3 linked regions of the Macaca mulatta genome follow. The protein of the gene in region 3 interacts with the protein of the main gene of each other region in a pairwise test. Links are inferred from orthologs where the notes say so. Each region holds a gene or a part of one and is shown on either strand. Other genes may lie near its edges.

Region 1 (7,753 bases), on a different chromosome or scaffold from region 3:
CCTGTGTTCAATGGCACCCACTTTCTTGTGCAATTCGGGCACCAACAAACAGCTGTGATTGTGCCTCCAGCAGGTGGAGACCGAGATGGAAACTGCATGGAATGAGCCCCTGGCTCCCAACAAGTGGGGGCACTCGGGAGAGCTATCTTTACATATCCCATTGTGCGAGATGATCGATCTGCCCCTGAGAGAAGGCTCAGGGGGGCTTCCGAGAGTAATGGGCTGACTGCGGGGCCAAGACCCCACCCTCCATCCTGAGCTCGGTAGAAGAAGCTCCTCCTTTGCAGGATGAGAGAGAAGGCCCCAGGAGGGGAGCTGGAGCCCATCAGCAATTAAGGCATAGGATAGAGCCAGGAGCCCCCAGTGGGGACTGCAGGGAAAAGCTGGGGATGCCGGAGGGAGCCGGGGAAGCAAAGTCCAGAGGCCCGGTTGGGGGCGCTCCAGAAGGCAAGCGCGAGAAGGCAAGCACGGCAGCGAGGATGAAGTGAAGGCAGCGGCGGGTCCGTGGGACCTGCACAGCCTGTGAGGGCCGTCGGGGACAGAGGCCGAGAGTGGGGGCAGATTGGTTGAGAATCAGCAGCAGGCGGATGTGACGTGGGTAGGTCCAAAGGCTTTTGAGTTAGAAGGCGACTTGGAAAAATGTCTGCCTGTGCAGATTCACAGTCAGCCCAACACTGTGTTTCAAAGTGAAGTTGGGAGGAGAAAAAGAAAAAGACAAAAACTTTTAAGGCTTGAAAGAGGACAAGTGTCCAGCAACAATGAGTTGGGGATGGGCGAGACGCTGAATCTGAGGCTGGCTCCCTGCTGTGACCTCACCGCCTGCCCACCTCTGCTCCAGTCTAGCAGGAGAGGCGGCCCCACTCTTTGGAGACCATCTGGTTCTTCCTGGCAGACCAGAATGCCAGATTTTTATGGTTTAAACAAATGTTGGCATCCATCTCAAAAAAAAACTCCTTCTGTAAGTCAAACAAAATATAGGCAGGTCAGTTTTGGTCAGGCCTAAAGACTGCGCCTGAAATCCTTAGAGACAGGAAGCAGATTCTGGTTGTCAGGGCAGGCGGAACGGCGAAGGCGTGCTGAGGCCTGTGGGCTCTCTTTCTGGGCGAGATGAAAATGTCTTTGGAGCTAAAGAGTGCTGGTAGTTGCACAGTGTTGTGAATGTGTTTAATGCCACTGAACTGTGCATTTTTAATGACTGAAATGGTAAATTTTATGTTTCCCAAAAAAGGAAAAAAAACAAAACCCTGTTTATCTGTTAGGTTCCAAGGGGGCTGAGCTGGCAGGAGGGCAGCCGGGGTCAGCTGTACCCTTCTCTGGAGTTGGAGCTGCCCAGGCCGGCTCCCGCCCTCATGGCCTCAGGGATATCCACAGTGAAATGAAAACCCAGCGGCAGAGTCTGCCCCTGAGTCAGGTGCTCACAGGGAGACCTGGACAAGGCTTCTGAAAGACGAGACGTGAATGAAACTCCTCTTCAAGCCACTTGCAAAACACAGTGTGCAGGACTGACCAGGTTTTGCTGTGGAACTGCTGCTGCTTGGCCGAGATCCTGGGAAGCCATGCTCGGCTCTGGAGCAGGTGTCCAGGATCTTCTGAGAAGCAGCCTGTGTCCTTCAAGAGGAGTCCCATGGTGGCCAGGGGTTGGTGGGGCTGGGGGATGTCCCCCATCTTCTGGTGCCCATCGGTGCCCCCCGGGGACTCAGGGCCGGGTGGCCAAGGCCCGAGGCTGGCCATTCACATGTGGCCGTGGGCCGTGTGGAGTTTCTGATGGTCGATGAGGTGGACCATCCAGGGGAAGGCCTTCCCGCAGACGCTACACTGGAAGGGTCTCTTGGGGCTGCGAGGGGCCACTGAGCCTTGGGCTCCATCCCTGGGTGGGGCGGACTCCCGGGGGCCCTTGCTCCGGGGGACTTTCTTCCTGGGTGGCTCCAACAGGTGGATCTTGCCGTGCTCAGCAAGGACAGAGCTGTGCAGGAAGACCCTGCCACACTCGGGGCACGGAAAGGGCCCTTCCTCGCGATGGGTCTTCTGGTGCTCGATGAAGTGGGTGACCCAGGTGAAGACCATCCCGCAGTCGGCACACTGGAAGGGCCGCCCACCTCGGGGCCCACGCAGCGTTGCTGAGACCGCTGCAGCAGCCTCTTGGGTGCCACCTTTGGTGTGCTTGAGGGATGGCTGGTGGCGGACGCTCTGGTCAGTGTTCCTGTTTCTCCTTCGGGGACTGATTCTCTGAGCACTCGGACCCTTGAGGCTTGAGATCACAGCCCCTTCTGCACGCAGGTCTGAGGAGGGCCCTGCGAGAAGATCCTCAGGCTCGTCCCAGATACATGGCTTCAGAGACAGGCGGGCCCGGGACCCTGTGGAGGGCGAGGGAGACAGGTCACCTGTAGTGAGTGGATGGCTTTGGCATCTCCCTGTGCCCCCCAGGGGCGTGGAGGACCCCAATGACTGAGCCAAGTCTGGGCCCTTCTTCTGCTCAATATGTCCCCTGTGCCCTCTGTTCTGTCCTTTAAGATACAAGGGCACATGTGGCTGGGCGCAGTGGCTTACGCCTATAATCCCAGCACTTTGGCAGGCCGAGGAGCGTGGATCATGAGGTGACGAGTTCAAGACCAGCCTGTCCAACATGGTGAAACCCCATCTCTACTAAAATACAAAAATTAGCCAGGTGTGGCGGTGGGCACCTGTAATCCCAGCTACTCAGGAGGCTGAGGCAGGAGAATCGCTTGAATCCGGGAGGCAGAGGTTGCAGTGAGCCGAGATTGCACTACTGCACTCCAGCCTGGGCAACAGAGCAAGACTCCATCTCCAAAAAAAAAAAAAAAAGAAGGGCATGTGTTTTGGGAGCAGATCCCACAGCACTGGCCCCTTGTTCCTACCTGGCTGGCCTTCTGGGTAACCCTGTGCTCCAACACTGTCAGACTGTCTGCCTTGGCTGCTGTTCAGGTGGGGAGGCTGAGGCCCTTCTCGTGGGCTGAACGATGTATGTGGCAGTTCTAGGGGCCCCTGATCTCAGTCCCCACAGGAGGTGTGCATGGTTTCTGGGGGAAGTGTGGAGTTTACCACCGAAGCCCCCAACTCCACCCATTAACAAAGTCTGTGACTTTGGGTTGAGGTGCCAAACTCCATTTCCAACCCTTAATTCACGCGGGAGCCAGACTCACCCAGCAAGCCAGGGGCATGGGGCGCCTCGGCCTCCGCCCTGGTGTGCAGACTCTGCAGGAGCTGGGTGGGCTCCAGCCACTCACTTTCCTCAGGGAGTGCCGGGGCTGCTGCCGCTGCATCCAGAATCAGCTCAGACGCCTGGAATGGCAAGCACAGGACTGTTCGGCAGCTGCCCCTCAGGAGCCGTCCTCCCCACCACCACGGAACAACAAAGGAACGGGCGTCATCCCCAAAGGCTGTCTCCCAGGGCGGTATGTGGTGGCGTGCCTGTTGTTCCCCTGCTTTGGGATGCTGATGCCGGAGGATTGCTTGAGTCCAGGAGTTTGGGACCAGCCTGGGCAACATAGCAAGGCTCTGCTTATACAAAAAGATAAGTAACCACTCCCAAGGAGCTCTTACCAGGACCTGAGACATAATTCGAGGGGCCCCTGTACAAAATGGAAATGCAAGTCCCCTTGTTCAAAAATAGTTGATCATTTCAGGACGGTGACAACAGAGCATAAGATGGAGCCAGGGGACCCGTGCCACGGCTCAGGTCACTGTTACCCGCTGGGGCTCCTAACTCCCATCCCCCAAGGCTGCACTGTCCTTGCCCACAAGCCCAGAGAAGGTGGGCGACTGCACAGACTTCACATCCCACCTGCGACCTATGACCTCTGAGGCACTTAACCCTGTCCCGCCCAAAGCGGGGATCACCACTTCCTGGGAGGAGACTGAGCTGTAGTTGAAGAGCAAGAATTCAAAACAGAGGGGCTTGGCTTGGTATCCAGGCTCCAGCTCTGCTCGCTCTGTGACCCTGGCTGAGGAGCTTTAGCTCTCTGGGTTTCCAATGAGGATGTAGGTTCTACGTGCCCAGAGCCTGGTACCATCAAGGGCTCGGCAAACTGCAACAGGGTCGTGTCAAAGGAAAACACAGTGACACTTATCAATGCAAATCAAGTTGTTGGAGGAGGTATGTCGAGTCAAACAAAGCATGAGAAGAGAGACCAGGAGTCAAGCACGCACTGATAAGGTCTTGAGTGGGTCTTCGTTTTCTGCTGCCCCAACCCTGACTGGATGCACAGGGATCTCAGGAAGCTGTCCAAGATTCCCAACAGCTGGGCAGAACCGGAGTGGAGGGATTGCTGGGCTAGAGACAGAGGAGGGAGGGAGAGAGGGAGCTGGTGGCAGGAAGGGAGTTAAGGCACAAGAGTCTTCCTGCTCTCACATTGGGAGTATGTGGATGGTGTGTTTGGCTGGGCTGTTGATTTTTATTTATTATCAAATGCTAGTTTTGATTGTAAAACATGTTGAATTCTGAAATCGTCACCAGAGGAGCCATCATCTGCAAGAGTAAAGGCGGGACTCCCTTTTACGCCTCTTTCCGGTACCTGGCTGCTGGGGGCCACTGTGGACAGTCAGCCTACTCCCTACTTCACCCACCTTGGTGTCTGTGACTAATCAAGGGCAGCAGAGGGGCTGCGTGGAGAGAAGAGTGGGTGGCCTGTGTGTGTGTGTGTGGAGACGGGCATGCTTAGTTCCCCTGACTCTCGGGAGGCATCTGAGGAGCTATCAGCACACTTGGGTCGGGCACAGAAACCAAGACATTCCTGGGGCCCTATCTGTACCTTCAATGCAAACACATCCCCATAGCCCCAGTGAGCCACTGGCCACAGATCTGGGCTCTTATCCTTCCAGAGATGGACCCAGGTTTATTGTCTCAGGGATGACAGGTGGGGAGATTGGACAGGGGAGGGAGACGCAGTTACACCCTGGGAAAGTCCTAATGCAAACCAAGCAACCGAGAAAAAGAAAACAAGAATGAGGGTCCAGGCATGGTGGCTCACGCCTGTAATTCCAGCACTTTGGGAGGCAGAAGCGGGCGGATCAAGAGGTCAGGATATCGAGACCATCTTGGCCAACATGGTGAAACCCATCTCTACTAAAAATACAAAAATTAGCTGAGTGTGGTGATGCGCACCTGTAGTTCCAGCTACTTGGGAGGCTGAGGCAGGAGAATCACTTGAACCCAGGAGGCAGAGGTTGCAGTGAGCTGAGATCGCACCACTGCACTCCAGCCTGGTGACAGAGCGAGACTCCGTCTCAAACAAAACAAAAACGAGAATAAAGGAGAAATGTGAATGCCTGGCAACTTACTGTTTTTGAGGAATTATCTTAATGGCTCTATTTTATTTATTTATCTAGAGACAGGGTCTCGCTCTGTCACCCAGGCTGGAGTGCAGTGGCGCGATGTCTGTCAGCTCACTGCAACCTCCACTCCCTGGGTTTAAGCGATTCTTGTGCCTCAGCCTCCCGAGTAGCTGGGACCACGGGCACGTGCCACCACACCCAACTAATTTTTGTATTTTTTGGTAGAGATGAGGCTTCACCATGTTGGCCAGCCTGCTCTTGAACTCCTGACCTCTAGTGATCCACCCACCTCAGCCTCCCAAAGTGCTGGGATTACAGGCGTGAACCACCGCACCCGGCCAGGAATTATCTTAATGGCTTTAGTTGGGGCAATGTTGCTGGGTTATTTTGGAAAAAAAAGAAAGGAAAGAGTGGAGCAACATCACCAAGACGGTGGAGTAGGAGATACCAACCTTCATTTCCCCCTCCCACTACCCACACACAAATCAACTACAGACAGATATTCACAAGCCAGAATAGCCCAGAACGCTCAAGGACCCATTGAAGATCTGCAGCAACACAGTGGAGTAAAACGAAAAAACCCGAGAATGTCCACATGAAAAAGTTCACTGGTGAGATAATGCATACCTGAGATGCCAGGAGAACACTGTGAACAAAGAAGAAAAGCAGAGGCCACGAGTGTCAGCTACACGGTGGGAACCACCAGGGACCCCAGCAGTTTGCTCCACAGAGGACACTGGCATCACTTACCACTGACAGAGGTTCCAACAGTCATTCCCGCCAGGGCCTCAGGGTGCTACACCCATGTGATCTAAGGGACCTTAGAGTGCTACCCCCAAAGGGCTTCAGGCAGCTACTCTTACAGGCTTCTGGCAGCTCCCCACATGAGGTGATGGCGTTTCAGTCAACAACAGACCACACACACCACCGTGGTCCCATAAAATTATAATGACTGTCTTCCACCACCATTTGAAGTCCAACTCCATAGCATACACTGCTTCCTTACCCTGAGGGTGCACCAGCAGCCCCCTGCCTACAACTCCTCCAGGACCAGCAAAGACCTGAATGAGTACCGCAAGCAATACAGAGGAAATCACAGAGGGATCCAAGATCTGCAGGATGATGGTACAGTGTTACAAGCAAAAAGAGATCTGATGGTGTGTCTTGACTTAGGCTGGTTGCAGACTGCACAGTTAAAACAGTTACTGGAAGATCAAGGGGATTTGTATTTGTGCTTTTGGAAAATGCTAGTGCTGTTAAGGCCTTGGAATGGAAAGAACAGAAGCTGGATGGCAAATTGATAGGACCACCCCCCACCCCTGCCACATAGAGCCAAAGCTTGAAAAGGGAAAGAACCCCCTGAAAGGTTTTTGTGGGTGGATTGAGCCCAGCTACTTCTGAAGAACTAACTAAAGAATATTTTGGAGGTTTTGGAGAGATTGAAATTTTAAAGGCCAGGCGCAGTGGCTCACACCTAGAATCCCACCACTTTGGGAGGCCAAGGCCGAGACTGGAGAATTGCTTGACACCAGGAGTTCAAGACCAGTGTAGGCAACATAGCTAAGTCCCATCTCTACAAAATTGGGAAATTACCAGGCACTGTGGCTCAAGCCTGTAATTCTAGCTGAGATGGGAGGATCACTTGAGCCTGGGCAGTCAAGGCTGTAGTGAGCTGTAACTGCACCACTACACCCCAGTCTGGGGAGATCCCATCTCAAAAAAAGGAAAAAAGGGCTGGCCTCAGTGGCTCATGCCATGATCCTGGCACTTTGGGAGGCCAAGGCAGGTGGATCACTTGAAGTCAGGAATTCGAGACCAGCCTGGCCAACGTAGTGAAACCCCGTCTCTACTAAAAGTACAAAAATTAGCCAGGTATGGTGGTGTTCATCTGTGGGGCAGGAAAATTGTTTGAACCCAGGAGGTGGAGGTTGCAGTGAGCCGAGATCATGCCACTGCACTCCAGCCTGGGCGACAGAGCAAGACTCCATCTCAGAAAAAAAAAAAAAAGAAAGAAAAAGACAAAGAAAGAAAGTAACATGGTCTCACTCCATTGTCCAGCCTGGCCTCCAATTCCTGGGCTTGGGTTATCCTCTGGCCTTGGCCACCTCAAACACTGGGATTACAGATGAAAACTCGGCTCAAACCACAGCATTTACACTTACCTACGTGCCCCAGGGCAGTTAGTATACTCATTAAGAAACACTTGCAGGGTTAAAGCTATAAAATGCCTATTCATCAATTTTTTTGAGAATTCATAAATATTAAGGATCTAAAACAAACTTCTTTCTCAAGTAATTGAAATCTGAAAGCCTTTGGAAGCCAACTATCCCTGCACAAAGGTTTACAATTGAGAAATATCTCCTGTTCCTATTTTGTCAAGTTTCTTTACTGGCTGAACAAAAAGAAGCTTTGAGTAATGGAGAAGGCATCGTCTGAGCGCAGCTGCTTTCCTGGCTGCCTG
Region 2 (7,753 bases), on a different chromosome or scaffold from region 3:
GGTGGTGCAGCATCCCTGAGCAGCTGTGGGGAGCAAAGCACCCCAGGGCTCACGGCAGGCAGGGGCTTCCTGAGTTGGGGGTGTGGGGGCTGCAGGGTTGGGGATGGAGGCCCAACTGACCCTGCCCTACCCAGCCACTCTGCCTGTGCCTGAGGCTTTGGGGATCAGCCCTGGCCAAGGACATCAAGCTCTGGCTGTCAGTGTAGTCTGGGAGGTGCCAGGACCGCCTGGCACAGGGGCAGGTGCAGCCTGGGGGTGAGGGGATGGAGGTGGAGCCTGCAGCCGGGATGGGTGGCCCTCACCTCTGCTTGGGGTCCTTCTTGAGCAGCCCTGAGAGCAAGGACTTGGCCTCAGGACCAAGCGTGCGCGGGAAGCGGATCTCCTCCATGAGGATGAGCTCAAAAAGCTTCTCGTGGTCCTGGTTGTAGAAGGGCAGGCGGCCGCACATCATCTCATACATGACCACGCCCAGCCCCCACCAGTCCACCGCACGGCCGTAGTCATTGTCCTCCAGCACCTGCACGGGCGGCAGATGGGCAGGACTCGGCATCAGGGGGTGTCCGGGGGAGGTGTCGTGACGTGCTTGGGGCACAGAGAGGACACAGCTTTGCGTGTGCTCGGGACGTGGGGACACAGCGACGCGTATGCACACAGGTGGGGCGCACACCTCGGGGGCCAGGTACTCAGGTGTGCCGCAGAAGGTCTTCATGGTGGCGCCGTCCTTGATCCCCTCCTTGCACAGCCCGAAGTCTGTGATCTTAATGTGCCCGTCCTTGTCCAGCATGAGGTTCTCCAGCTAGGGGAAAGGTGGCCTCAGGTCAGTGCCGCCAGGCTCCCAGGGCCCTGCCCCCACCCCGAGTGCCCGCCGGCGCACCTTGAGGTCCCGGTACACCACATTCTTCTCCGAGTGCAGGTAGTCCAGGGCTGACACGATCTCGGCGCCATAGAAGCGGGCCCGGTCCTCAGAGAACACACGCTCCCGGGACAGGTGGAAGAAGAGCTGTGGGAAGCACGACCTGAGGCACAGCCGTGGCCGGGGCCTCTGCCCCCACGGCCTGCAGGGTTGGGGTTTCTCAGGCAGGGGCTCAGGGCATTGGGCACAGGGAAGGGACCAGCCCCCAGAGGGCACGGGGGCCTGGAAAGTCTCAGAAGCCCTAACTCAGCAGGAACAAGTCACCCCACAGCAGGCAGCTGCCTGGGCAGGCGTCATACCACCCACCCAGCAGGGAGCACCGTCTGGTGCTGTGGAGAGTAGCCGAGGTTCCGGGAAGGACCAGCCCCACTATGGGTGGCCCAGCTGCCAGGGCTGGGTCCACAGGCCGTGAGGCCCATCCCCCGCAGCCCCAGCCCCTACCTCGCCCCCATTGGCGTACTCCATGACGAAGCAGAGGCGGTCGTGGGTCTGGAAGGAGTACTTCAGGGCCTGCAAGGAAGCGGAGCTGGAACTGCAGCCCCACGGGCAGGACAGCAGCCCCACACCACGCTGCCCGATACCATGCTGCTTGATACCATGCCACCCGTAGCCCCACACCATGCTGCCCGACACCACGCTGCCTGATACCATGCTGCTTGATACCATGCCACCCGATACCATGCCACCCGTAGCCCCACGCCACGCTGCCTCACACCACATTGCCCGATACCACGCTGCCCCACACCACGCTGCCCCGCACCACACCCCCACATCACACTGCCTCACACCACATTGTCCCACACCACACACCCCCACATCACACTGTCTCACACCACATTGTCCCACACCACACACCCCCACATCACACTGTCTCACACCACATTGTCCCACACCACACACCCCCACATCACACTGCCTCACACCACATTGTCCCACACCACACACCCCCACATCACACTGTCTCACACCACATTGTCCCACACCACACACCCCCACATCACACTGCCTCATGCCACACCCCCACACCACGCCATCAGGCTGGGCCCTGGCAGCCCCTGAGGCGCCAAGGAGTGTTTGAAAGGTGAGCAAAGTGGCCTGGGCTCAGGTCTCCAGGGCGGGTTGGGACCTCAACAGGGGGCAGTGCTCCCAGCACCAGAGCCCTGGCAAGGGAGGATGCACCCTCCCAGGCAGAGCCACCTTCCTGCCTTCCACCACAGGCGGCTGTGCTTTTAAAGCAAAGGCCCCTTCTGCAGGAGAATCATCCCCAAACACAGTGACCTGGAACTAACCACGTGGCTGGAGTCTGGCCCCCTTCACAGTAAATACCTCCTGGGTCGAGTCCCCAGAACGGGCTCCCCAGGACAGAGCCCGGGCCTCAACAGAAGCCTGGCAGGCAGGGCTGCAGGGCATGGGGAGCTGGGGCCTCCCGGAGCCTCGGCAGAGTGCAAAGACGACCAGGGCCACCTGCCCCACCTGCCTGCACACAGGAGCGGCGAGCACAGCCCCCAGCCCACATCGGGCACCTCCACAGCCTGACCCTCCGGGGCAGGCCTGTCACCAGCGGCAGAATCCGCGGTGCGTAAAGTCCTCACGTGCCCAAGAAGACAGGACATCGTTCCCTAGAGACAGCCCCAGGAGTCGCCACCTGACCCCAGCCCTTCAGCCCCATCTGGGCTCCCACTCACCGTGAGGAAGGGGTGCCTGGAGTTCTGCAGAACACGGTTCTCGGTGAGTGTGTGGGCCACCTCGTCCTGTAAGGCAGGGCTGGGTGAGCTGCCGCCCAGCATCCTCGTCTCCACCCTGCCCCACCACCCCGGCCCCACCTTGGCCACGATGACCTCCTTCTTGAGGATCTTCATGGCATAGTAGCGGCCCGTTGCCTTCTCCTTCACCAGGATCACCTTCCCGAAAGTGCCCTTGCCCAGCAGCTTCAGGTACTCAAACTCGTTCATGGTCTGTGGGCAGGCACCAGGGTCAGCGGGGGGCGCTGCCCACAGTGCCCAGCTGGTCGGCATGTGTCAGGTGGCATGGGGGCCCCAGAGTCACCCTTGGCAGACTTGGAGGCGGAGCCAGGAGAGGCGACCGCTTCACACCTGGTGGCCTGCGGGGCTCAGCGGGGAGTCCGGACTTACAGGGAACACACGGTGCAGCCCTAGCTCAGAGCGTGGGGTTCGGGGAAGGGTGGGGTAACACTGCCCAAGCCTGGCAGGGCTCAGCAGCCCCACTATTTCTCTGACATAGGGAAGAGGACCCACCTGGGAAGCAGCTGCGCCCCACATGGAAAACCGGCCTAGATGGGGATGCTGTGGAGTGCTGAGTGTCTCCTGGGCCAAGCTGGGACCCCATGACCCACCCAGCTCTCCACAGCCCAAGGTAGCCCCAGGCATAGGCAGAAAGGGGGACAGGCCTTACCACACGGTGCTTGGGTTTGGCCAGGGACACCTCCATCTCTTCAGCCCCTGAGTTGTCGCTGGGTGAGCCCGACCGGAAGTCCATCATCTCCTCCTCGTGCTTCTTGAGGCCATCGGCCACTGTCTGGATGGCGGTTGTCCACTCCTCCCTGCAGGAGGTCAGGTGAGGCTGTAGCCCTGCACCTCACCCCATGAGGTCAGGAGCTCCACCCCACGGCTTACACCCACCCTCCAGCCTCACAAGCGGGGTCCCCAGAGACAGCCCTGAGGAGGCCACCCCTTGACCTGGGCTGGCCACACACACTCAGGGTCAGAAAGCCCTTCTGGACCTGAGGGACACGCAGGCTTAGCCCCCAAGTAGGGTTCAAGCCCCCAGCAGGGCTCTGTCCCCACAGGCAAACTCCAACCCCCAGCAGGACCCAGGCCCACAGCAGGACTCCGCCCCCCAGGCTTGCTCTATCACCCAGGCTGGAGTGCACTGGTACAATCTCGGCTCACTGCGGCCTCCGCCTCTTGGGTTCAAGCAATTCTTGTGCCTCAGCCTCCCAAGTAGCTGGGATCACAGGTGTGCACCACCACACCCAGCTAAGTTTTATATTTTTAGTAGAGGCGGGGGTTTCACCATGTTGGCCAGGCCGGTCTTGAACTCCTGGTCTCAAGTGATCTGCCCATCTCAGCCTCCCAAAGTGCCAAGATTATAGATGTCGGCCACTGTGCCCGGTCCCTAGACAGTTTTTATCTCCAGCCTCAGTTTCCCCACCCAACCCCACAGGACTGGGCCAGTTTCCAAACCGGGCTCTGAGGAGGGCCTGGGATCACTGGGGAGTAAGGATGGCTATAGGCAGAGGCGCCCAGCACCCGCCATCCCCACGTCCCTCCTAAGCGCTAGGGCTGCCCAAGTGCCCGGCCTGGCCGCCGCAGCCCACGTACCGCTCCTCGGGAGTCTCCACGTGGAAGGTGCGTTCGATGACAGTGGTCCACTGCAGGCAGCGGATGATGAAGGTGTTGGGCCGGGGCCGCTCCGTCTTCATCAGCTGGCACTCTGCGGGCAAGCAGAGCCTCTGTCTGCATGCATCCCCCTGCCCCTCCCAGGGCCCTCACCACAGTCCCCACCGCACCAGCCAGCTCCCCTTGCATACCACCCACAAGTCCTAGGAAGCCCCACCTCCTCCTCTCTCCAAGCCTCAGTTTCTCGCCTCATAGAGTGGGGCTAGGACCCCCATTCCAGCTCAGACACTCTATTCCAGGTTGAGGCAGCCCCAAAGGGCATCTGGCCCAAGGTCAGGTCAACCCCCCCGCATCGTCCCCTCCTACAGTCCCCTTCCTTCAGTCACTGAGCCCCACCGTGCACCAGGCCTCAGAGGATGAGGGATATGGAGATCCCACAGAGGGGCTGGCATGAGGGGGCCACCCCAGAAAGCAGCTTGTCCCACCTAGTGTAGAAATGTCCTGCTATTTTCCCAATCTCACCCTGAGTACCTGGGAAATACACCTGGGGGCACACGCACACCTGGGGGCACAGCCACACCTGGTGCACAGCCACACCTGGGGCACACCACACCCGGGGCACACCACACCTGGTGCACAGTCACACCCGGGGCACAGCCACACCTGGGGCACAGCCACACCTGGGGCACACCATACCTGGTGCACACCCACACCTGGTGCACACCCAAACCTGGAGCACACCCACACCCAGGGCACACCCACATCTGGGGCACACCCACACCTGGAGCACACCCACACCCGGGGCACACACATATGTGGGGCACAGCCACACCCAGAACAGTCACACCCAGGGCACACCCACATCTGGGGCACAGTCACACCCGGGGCACACCCACATGTGGGGCACAGCCACACTCGGAACACAGCCACACCTGGGGCACACAGTCACACCAGGGGTACACCCACACGTGGAACACACCCACACCCGGGGCACACCCACACTCGGGGCACAGCCACATCTGGGGCACACACACACCTGGGGCACAGCCACATCTGGTGCACAGCCACACCTGGGGCACACACACACCTGGAGCGCACACACACCTGGGGAACACATACGTGGGGCACAGCCATTCCTACTGCACATACACCCTGAGGGCTGTGGGAACGTGCGGGGCCCTGAGAGGTGTGAGTGAGTGCAGTGTGTAGCCGCTGGGGCTCCTTGGCAGGCTCTGGCCCAGCCTGTGCAAAGCAGGAGGGGGCTGAGGGGCCAGTAGGGGGCCTCTGACATTCCAGCATCGAGGCCCTGGCAACCACAAGGGGGCCTGGCCAGGCAGCGAGGGAGCTGTCTTCCAGGCCTGGGGGCCAGGAGGGGGCTCGGGACCAGCCTGGTGGGGAGGGTGGCCTGTGTCAACACAGGCCAGAGAAGTGGAAACCAGTGTGAAGCCCCGGCACACCCACCTCCCACTTGCTCCTGGATGGTCTGATCTGCCCTAATATGCAATCCCCAGGGCCAGGGTCTCGAGCCCACTGCCCCGGAACCCTTCCCCGGAGAAAAGCTCCTGGCCCCTGCCCAGCTCTGCTCCTTGGCCAGGCACTCCAGACCACCCACCTATGGCCTCATCTGAAGGCCCCAGCCTTGCCGGCTGCTCAGGCACCACCCCAGCTGGTACCCACCCGTGTGCCTCCCCAGAGAGCTCCCCTCTTCCTTCCTTCCTGATGCCTCGGCCTGGCGAGCACACCCACAGCACCCGTCCCCAGCAAGGCCCTGTCCCAGGTGCCACCAGGCACACAGCGAGTATCCAGCCTCTCCCTGATCCCTGAAGCCCCCAGCCCCAACCAAGGAGACACTGGGGAGGGCGTGGGGCAAGTTACGCAGCCCTGCCACATACAGATGGCCCACAACTGGGTCCTACTTAGCTACTCAATCACACCTTTGGCTGCCACGGGCAGAGCTGGGCTCCAGGACAGGGACACAGAAAATGGGGACCATGCTGGGAGGCCCACGTGCCCCCAGCCTCCCACCTAGCAGGGCGCCTGGGTCTCCATGCCAGGGTTCCCGTCTAACATGGGTAGGGTCGCACCTGCCCCCGCTACAGGTAGGAAATAAAGCCACAGCAGGGCGAAGCAGGGAGTGTCACGTCTCTCATCTCTGTGGGATGCTCTGGCCAAGGTCCCCCGCTGGCCTTTCTGCACCCGCCCCTTCGTGGGCAAGGAGGCTTCCAGCCTGCAGCCTCACAGAGGGAAGCAAAGGTTCCGCCACGGGGTTTGGGGACCGAGCGCCTGTGCGGGCAGAGGCATGAGCTCTTCCTCGAGTGATGGAGGCTTCAGAGCTAGAGACCCAGGTGGGCTCTATCTGCCCCGCTTGGAGGAGGGGCCCCCGGGTCAGCTGTCCACCCTGAGGCTAGGCTCTGCTACCACTTGTCTGGACCCTCCAGCCTCCAGAGCATGGGCACCAGGGAACTGCTCCACAGTCAGCCAGCATTGGGACTCGGCCCAGAGACCCCCGCCTAGCCAGCCTCAGGACTCAGCTCAGAGACCCCTGCCCAGCCAGCCTCGGCCTCGGGACTCGGCCCAGAGACCCCCGCCTAGCCAGCCTCAGGACTCAGCTCAGAGACCCCTGCCCAGCCAGCCTCGGCCTCGGGACTCGGCCCAGAGACCCCCGCCTAGCCAGCCTCAGGACTCAGCTCAGAGACCCCTGCCCAGCCAGCCTCGGCCTCGGGACTCGGCCCAGAGACCCTCGCCTAGCCAGCCTCAGCCTTAGGACTCAGCCTGGAGACCCCCACCCAGTCAGCCTCGGCTTTGGGACTCAGCCTGGAGACCCCTGCCCAGCCAGCCTCGGGACTCAGCCCAGAGACCCCCACCCAACCCGTGCTTGTTGCTTGCTGGCCCAGAACATGGAGGCTCCAGGGCACCCCCATCGGGGGGCCTGGTGGGCAAAGAGGGCTCCAGCCAACCCCAAATCTGAATCCCGAAAGGCTGAGGGGACACTTACGTGCCACAGAGAAGTTGTTGAGGGGGGCCTCACGTTGGTCCACGTCCTGCGGCCGCTCCTTATAGCCAATGAAAGTGCCATCATTCTTGAGGAGGAAGTAGCGTGGTCGCCAGGTCTTGATGTACTCCCCTACGGACGTGCAGGTGGTGAGGGCCATGCACACTCTACCCGTCAGACCCTCGCCAGGCAGCCAGGTAGCAACTGGTGTGCCAGGACAGATGTGCCTGGGACGCCTGAGTCCCGGGGGGCAGGCGCAGTGGGGGAGCTGTTTCTTAGGGCAAGCGACAGAAACAGCCCTGGGTCAGTGGGAAGGCAGACTCGCCCCACCACAGCGCCCCTCTCAGAAGAGCCACCCCTATCTGTGTGTGAAAACGGGCTGGGCCAGCTGGACGCAGGGGATGGAGTACCATTGACAGGAGGCTGGGAAGAGGTCTGGGCCAATCTGCACAGCCTTCCTGGAAGAGGCAGCACCAAACCAGCCAGTCC
Region 3 (7,490 bases):
TCTGCAGGGCCTCTTCAATGGAGAACTTCTTGCCAGACTTCCTGTCGTGTATTACTGAGGACTCACCATTAGGACCCTTCACTGAGATCTCCTCCCAGTCGCACTCCTGGCTTCTGAGTTTCACGAACATGTTCCAGTCGATGAGCCCCACGCGGTGGGCTTCCTCCGGGGACAGCTCGCGGCCTGTGTCGGGGTGGATGACTACGATGGAGCGCCGCAGGTGGTTCTCCCGCTGCTCCCGCTTGACAGCCACGGAGCCCAGACGTTTCTGCAGCTCGTCGATCTCGAGGTCTTTGTCCTTGGAGAGCCTCTTGAGGTCATCTAGTTCCCTCTCGAGGGACCACAGTCTGGAGTCATGGTTGGTCCCGGAGTCCGCCACGGTCATGTTCCGCAGGTCTCGTGTTTCCGTCGCTGCCATGTCAATTTCCGATTGGAGCCTTCGGGTCTCCAGCTGCAGGTTTTGCCTCTCCAGCTGTAATTTGTGGTTCTCTTCCCTTAGAAAATCTAGTTCCTTGGATGACTTGGAGTTATGAAATTCCAGCTCCGCAAGTCTGGCTTCCAGCCGGCTCACCTCGACATCCAGCTCGCGCTTGCTGCGGCTCTCCTCCTCCAGGTTGCTCTTGAGCCTCTGGATCTCTTGCTCGGTGTCACCCTTCTCCACCTGGATGCTCTCGGAGAGCACCACCTTCTCCTTGACCTCCGCCTTCTCCAGTGCAGCCAGTTTCCTCCGGAGGGGCTCAAGCTCACCCTCCAGGAGCTGCCGCCGGTGCTGCTCTTCTTCCAGCTGGAGTCGGAGCAGGGCATGCTCTCGGGCCTGCTGCGGGTCCTGCTGCAGCACCACCTTCTGCTTGCGGGTTACCTTCTCACGGGCCTCCGCTTCTTCCTGCTCCAGCGCTGCCAGCCGCTGCTGCAACCGCTGCACCTCGCGCTCGGCCTCCCTGCGGGCCTGCCGCTCACGCTCCAGCTCCTCCAGCTGCCGCTCAAGCTCGGTGCGCCGGCGCTGCAGCCTCCGCAGCTCTGCCCGCAGCTTGTCAATCTGTCGCAGCTCCACGTCGATGCTCTCGGCAAAGGCGCTCACCTCGGCCCGCAGGCCTGGCTCCTCCTCGTACCTGACTACCTCCTGCTGCACCACCCTTTCCTTCACTCGCGAGAGCTCCTCCTCCTTCTGGGCGATCTGCTTTTCCTGGGAGGCCTTCTCCCTCTCCAGATCCACTTGCTTCTTCTGCTCCTCTGAGAGCTTTGCCCTCAGAGACTCCACCTCCTCCTTGGTTTGAGGGTCTTCTTGGAATTGGAGGATCTCCTGGACCACTTCTTTGGTCTGGACCTGGGGTTTGGTGTCTTTCAGGGCCTGGATTTCCTGCTTGAGCTGGTAGATCTCTAAATCACACCTTTCAATCAGTCTGGTCTTGTCCACGATCTCCTCCCTAAGCCGCTGAAGCTCCTTCTCCATCTCGGGGTCAGTTTTGTACTTAATGACTTCCTTAGTCACCTCTTTGACTTCCACCTGGGGGCCTCGCCTCCTGAGGGCCTCCAGCTCGCTCTGGTAGCTCCGGAGCTGCTCCTCGGCACCCCGGTACTTTCGCTCCTGCTCCACAAGCTCCAGGCGGAGGTTGGCCACCTCACTCTCCGCCTTGGGGTCTGGCCGCACGATCTCCCTCACCTTCTCCTGCACCACCACTTTGGCGTTCTCCTCCTCTAAGGCCCATATCTTCCGGAGCAGCTCCGTCTTCTCCCTCTGGCTAGCGCGAGCCTTGGCAGCCTCGTCCTCGTATTGGCGGGTGAGATCGCTGACCTCCCTCTCGGTGGCTGCGTCCTTCTCCACCTTGAGCACCTCCTTGACGGTGATCTTGCCCTCAGCCATGGCCCGCTCCTTCTCCAGCCTCTTGAGCTTGTCCTGGAGGAAGCTCAGCTCCTCCTCCTGCTTCTCCCTGAGCTGGCCCTGGCACTGGTGGTCCTCCTGCAGCTGCTGGTACTCTGCCTCCAGCTGGGGGTCATTCTGCAGTTTCACCACCTCTTTCTCGGTGACCTTCTCCTGTGCCCGGCTCTTCTCCTCGGCCAGGACGGCCACACGCTGCTGCAGGAGGAGCACCTCTGCCTCCCGGGCGCCCTTCTGCCGCCTCAGTACCTCCAGCTCCTCCCGCAGCTGCAAGACCTCATCCGCCTGGGCCCTGTCGGGCTCAATGCGCAGGACCTCTTTGACCACGTACTCCTGCCCCCCATCCCTGGTCTCCTGCTCCAGGGCACGCAGCTGCAGTTGCAGTGCCTCCAGCTCCTCCTGCAGCAACTGGTTCTTGTGCTGCTCCTCTGCCAGCGTCTGCTGCAGCTGCTGGAAGCTCTCCTCCAGTGCGGGATCCGGCACCTTCTTGAGCACCTCCTTCCTCACCACCGATTCCTGAGGCCCCTGATTCCTCAAGGTCCGGATTTCTTCCTGGGTGCTCTTGACCTCGTTCTCCAGCTGCTGCCTCCGCTCAGTCTCCTCATCCAGTTGCTTCCTGATCTTCCACGCCTGCTCCACTCCAGAGTCCGGCCTGTTCCTTTGCAGGGTCTCATGGGTCACTTCGACTTCCGGCTGCTGTGATGGAGAAGACAAGACAAGGTTAAAGCCAGGCTCTGGCAGCACATGTGGGGCCTGTCCCCAGCTGGTCAGAGCGGCTGTCCTGTGATCCCCAAGGGACTCCCTCAGCGCCAGTTCATGTTCGTTGTAGAGTTCTAGGGTTACTTTCAAAAATGATCAAACAACTAGTTTGGGGTTTTTTTTAATTAGGTAAAACATTTTTGAGCTGTGGAAGAGTTTAAAATGAAACCATGGTCTCCCACCTCTGGTCCCCTTCCTAGGGCGTGTCTGTCTATGCTCACACAAGCATGTCTGTCTGTAGTATGCACCATGTGTTTATCTTTCCTGCACAAATGGTATTCTTGCTGTGTGCCCTGCCGCTGACTGCACTGACAGAGCTCATTCCAGCTCCGCACAGAGAGTACTGCTTCAGGATTTACCAGCAGCATAGTTTCTACTCTGGACAGACCGCAGTTTAGCCCATTGCTGATGAAGAGTGAACCGCTTCCAGTGTCTTGCTATTACAAACAATGCTGTCGTAAACATCATGGACTTCAGAAAATAACATTCATTTTCTTTGCTTTCTTTTTTTTTTTTTGAGACAGAGTCTCGCTCTGTTGCCCAGCTGGAGTGCAATGGCACAATCTCGTCTCCCTGCAACCTCCACCTCCTGGGTTCAAGCAATTCTCCTGCCTCAGTCTCCTGAGTAGCTGGGATTACAGGCATGCGCCACGCCGCCCAGCTAATTTTTGCATTTTTAGTAGACACAGCGTTTCACCATGTTGGCCAGGCTGGTCTCAAACTCCTGACCTCAGGTGATCCGCCCGCCTCGGCCTCCCAGAGTGCTGGGATTACAAGCGTGAGCCACCATGTTTAGCTGAAAATAGCATTCACTTTCAGCAGACGTTTACTAAGTTGAATAAGTTCTCATGTCAGTAGAAGCATTGGCTCGGGCCAGTCTTTGCACTGGTCCTGCCCAGAAACGTTAGCAAGGGGACACTCCCATCAATTCACAGACTATTTCTCTGAGACAGAGTCTGTCTTTGTCACCTGTTAGCACAGCTTGAAGTAGGATTTCTTACGAAGATCAGTTACCTGTCTCAGGAGATTCAGAGCAAACTCCAGATTCTGCAGCCTCTGTCTGTTGATGGCGTAAACTTCAGTGAACTTGGCGGCAAGTGCTGCTTCCTGCAGACAAGACGTTTAGGAGAGCGATCAACAAACAGGTGTCAACAGGGTAAGCAACAGAGAGCTAGAGAGCGTGGGCGTGGTTCTTGAGAAGTATGGAATTTGGGGGTAGAGGCATAACTCTTGCTTTAGTCTCACTGGTGGAGAGAAAACTGGATCTCGAGGCAGAAGATCCAGACCAGGGTCTTGACTACACTGACTTTGAGCACCAGTGTTCTTTCTTGTGTGTGCAAGGGACTAATATCAGCCCTCCACTCTACTTACTGAGCAAAAGAGGAACTTTCCAGATCCATGGCTTTGACCCTGACACTGCTGTTCAGCTGTGTTTTCAAAAGTTTTTACTTTTTAAAGACAGAATCTCTCTCACTCAGACTGAAGTGCAATGCTGTGATTGCAGCTCACTACAGCCTTGAACTCCTGGGCTCAAGTGATCCTCCCTCCTCAGCCTCCCAAGCAGCTGCAGGGTGCACCACCACGCCTGGCTAATTTTTTTGTAGATTTGGGGTCCTGCTTTGTTGCCTGGGCTGGTCTCAAACTCCTGGGCTCAAGCAGTTCTCCCACCTTGGCCTCCCCAAGTGCTAGGATTACAGGTGCTAGGAGCCACCCAAAGTGCTAGGAGCCACCACGCCCAGCCTTGCTGTCTTTCTAGGCATATCGCTGTCACTGCCCTAGAGCAAGTTCCTCATCTTCTCTTACCATACCTGTTTGCACACAGGAGGGCTCTCAGTGGCTTCCCTGTTGTATGTGCATCTCTGAGGCCAGCGCGTGACACCAATGCTCCCTGGGGAGCAGGGCAGCTTGGCCTCCACCTCAGTCCCGAGGCCGCCCGGCCCACAAAACTCACCTCTTCCTTCACTTTGGCGGCAGGAGATTGGAGCCTGGCTCTCTTGCTCACGTGGCTGCTCCTTCCATTCTCCAAGTCGAGAAGAGACCTTAGTTTTTCTGCTTCTAACTCATAGTCCTGCATGAGTGAGAGACATGGCAGAGGGTAGATTAAAACAGGTTAGAAGAGACAGACATGTTCCTGTACCCCTTCCGGCTGACCCAGACCAGCCCTGTGCCATGTGCTGGTTTTATAATCTGCACGGGTCTTCCTCACAGCTGCACCCTGTAGTGATTGCCAGGAGGTTTTGAGAATTACCGATACCTCAGCAGTACAGAGCTCCATCACTCAGTAACATACAAGACAAGAAAAAGCACCCCCCGAATTCCCCTCCCGACCTTCCTACATGCCTAGAGATTTTCACCTGCTGCTGCTGCTTTTAACATTGTACCATCACCTTGTCTCACCTTGCCACCACCTCTTCTCATGTTTACCAGCTTGCAGACTTCATAATCCAGCAAGTGGATGTGTGCTGCTTCACGCAGCTTTCCCCTTCCACTGGACACCCGTCCTTTCCAGCTTACTAGTTTTGCTATTGTAAATAGGGCTGTTGCAACAATTTTATCCTGCTTTTTTTTTTGGTATTTTTTCTTTAAGGATAAATTCCCCCAAAGAGTTTACTGCTTCAGAGTATAAAACCCTTTTACGGCATTGCATGTCTAGTACCATGCTATTTTCCCAAAAGCCCATGCCAGTTTGCACAGCAGCCAGCAGTGCCGCCAGATGGCCAGCTCCACCCACATGTGCCAAGGCTGGTGCTTGCTGCTTCTCTGACCAGGGGACGGAGGAACGAGGCCCCTGCTGTTTGTGCTTCGGGCAGAAGTTTCCCGGCTCACCTTTACAGCCTGCTGGTACTGCTGGGAATTGGCACAGATCTTCTGTACTTCCTGCTCCCTACTTGCTATCTCATCTAGCAGGTTCTGTAAGACACAGTTTAAAAATCAAAACGAACCGGAAAAAAAATTTAAAAAAGCAAACGTGGATGAAGTAGCTGGAAATCTCAGAATCTGAATTTACTCTTCTCTAGCACAAAGTATGATGAATGGCTCCCTGGTATACATTATTGTTCATTGCAAAAGGCAGTTTTTTTTTTTTTGGTTTTGTTTTTTTTGTTTTTTGAGACAGAGTCTCACTGCATTGCCCAGGCTGGAGTGCAGTGGTGCAATCTTGGCTCACTGCAACCTTAGCCTCCTGGGTTCAAGCAGTTCTGCCTCAGCCTCCCAAGTAGCTGGGACTACAGGCTCCTGCCACCATACCCAGCTAGGTTTTTTTTTGTATTTTTAGTAGACATGGGGTTTCACTGTTGCCAGGCTGGTCTTGAATTCCTCACTTCGTGATCCACCTGCCTCGGCCTCCCAAAATGCTGGCATTACAGGCGTGAGCTACTGCACCCGGCCATAAAAGGCAATTCTAAGGCTCTGTGAAGGGCCAAGATCATTATCTCTGCTAGGAAACAAATGTTTACTGATGATTTGGACCACCAGACACTGTTCTGCTCTCTGACTTAGATTATCTCATTTGATCTTCAAGTGATGCCAGAAGGTAAGCATCGTGACCTCCAGCTTATGAGTGAGGAAAGTAAAGTTTCCAAAGTGGGGATGTGGCTGATGGGGTGGACCTGGGAGTTGCATCTCAGCCTTTATCTTCCCATGTTCTTCCCTCACCCCAAGGCACTGTGTTGGGCCTGGGGAGGCCGGAGTCCCAACTTTGGAAATGGGATTTTCCCCACAAAGGCGGCTCCTCATTCTGTAGCTGCTCACTCAGATAGCCAACCCACGCCAGGCGTCCACTCTGCACCAGGCCCTGTGCGGGGCACTGAGCTGGGAGAGGTGAGCGACACACTCGGATCTTGTTCTCAGAGGGTTGGGTGTTGGGAGCCTGAGAGCTGAGGCCCAGGGAGGACATAGCTGTGGCAGGCCTCTGCCCTGCTCCACCTCCCAAAAGCTTGGCTCCCCAGAAAGGGGCTTGCTGACCTCTGACCCTCCCTCGCCAGTGTGTGCCTGGGGCTGCAGAAGCGGCCGTCTCACCTTCTGGTTCTTCAGCTTGGTCTCCATCTGGCTGAGGCTGTCTGTCTCCTGGGGCTCGTAACTGGGGATGCTGGTGAGGAGCTGCAGCACGTGGTCACGGCCGTGGTGGAAGTCCTCGTAGGCCGCCTTGGCACTCTGTAGGCTCTGCGCCCTGCCAAGGCAAAGCATTCAGGCCTTGGCCACAGCAAGCAGATGCCTTACGGGGCCCTCATTTTTTAAAAAAAAGTGGGAAACAATCAAATGTAACTTAACTAGAAATACCGTAAGTATCTCCCACACGGGTGGGTGGTAATTAGGGAATGTCAGGTGGGAGTGGAGAACCGGGTGAGTCCACATACACTGACTTGCAGAGATGCCCATTGTGGATTACAAGACCCAGGTAATCATGACTCAAAGGAGAGACCACAGGGCTGTCAGGGAATCTGACGAACTCACCAAAAAGAAAAACGGCACCATCTGTGGGACATGGCTACAGCATTGTTTAGAGGGAATTAGATTGCATTCTCAGAAAACAAGAATGACCACCACCCCCCGCACCCTCACCTGCGCTCCACCTGCTGGCACAGGTTGTCGAAACGCTGGCCCAGCTTGTGCACCTCGGCCTCCTGGCGCTCCAGGTCCGGGCAGTGCTCCTGGAAGTGGCTGGCCAGTGTGCTCGAGCACTGCTTGGCTGCCTGCAAGTTCTGCTCCACCTCACCCAGGAGGGACTTCTGGGCCTGTAACTCAGAGGCCATGGCCTGGCCGGGCAGAGGAGGAGACAGCGGTGCTATGGCCAGAGCTCCAGAGCTCCCAGAGCCGGGTGATGACAGACCCCGGGCCACTGGCTGTAGGAGGGTGG

The links.
Region 1: the proteins of PPL (region 3) and ZSCAN1 interact in binary tests that used the Homo sapiens proteins (3 or more experiments, as listed by UniProt). The two-hybrid records come from large-scale screens. The link is inferred for Macaca mulatta from reciprocal best matches to the Homo sapiens genes PPL and ZSCAN1.
Region 2: the proteins of PPL (region 3) and AKT1 interact in a two-hybrid assay, tested with the Homo sapiens proteins (2 studies listed by BioGRID and IntAct). The link is inferred for Macaca mulatta from reciprocal best matches to the Homo sapiens genes PPL and AKT1.

What each region holds. Positions count from the first base shown.
Region 1 is NC_133424.1:70,175,617-70,183,369, reverse strand, and holds the end of ZSCAN1 (zinc finger and SCAN domain-containing protein 1), read right to left. Parts: intron 3,301-7,753; coding exon 3,162-3,300; intron 2,355-3,161; coding exon 1,732-2,354; 3' UTR 663-1,731; downstream 1-662. UniProt on the Homo sapiens protein: May be involved in transcriptional regulation.
Region 2 is NC_133412.1:178,212,996-178,220,748, forward strand, and holds part of AKT1 (RAC-alpha serine/threonine-protein kinase), read right to left. Parts: intron 7,397-7,753; coding exon 7,268-7,396; intron 4,367-7,267; coding exon 4,255-4,366; intron 3,474-4,254; coding exon 3,326-3,473; intron 2,869-3,325; coding exon 2,737-2,868; intron 2,665-2,736; coding exon 2,599-2,664; intron 1,424-2,598; coding exon 1,355-1,423; intron 1,001-1,354; coding exon 875-1,000; intron 797-874; coding exon 668-796; intron 518-667; coding exon 303-517; intron 1-302. UniProt on the Homo sapiens protein: AKT1 is one of 3 closely related serine/threonine-protein kinases (AKT1, AKT2 and AKT3) called the AKT kinase, and which regulate many processes including metabolism, proliferation, cell survival, growth and angiogenesis.
Region 3 is NC_133425.1:6,150,031-6,157,520, forward strand, and holds part of PPL (periplakin), read right to left. Parts: intron 7,390-7,490; coding exon 7,196-7,389; intron 6,804-7,195; coding exon 6,653-6,803; intron 5,546-6,652; coding exon 5,462-5,545; intron 4,704-5,461; coding exon 4,587-4,703; intron 3,743-4,586; coding exon 3,650-3,742; intron 2,573-3,649; coding exon 1-2,572. UniProt on the Homo sapiens protein: Component of the cornified envelope of keratinocytes. May link the cornified envelope to desmosomes and intermediate filaments. May act as a localization signal in PKB/AKT-mediated signaling.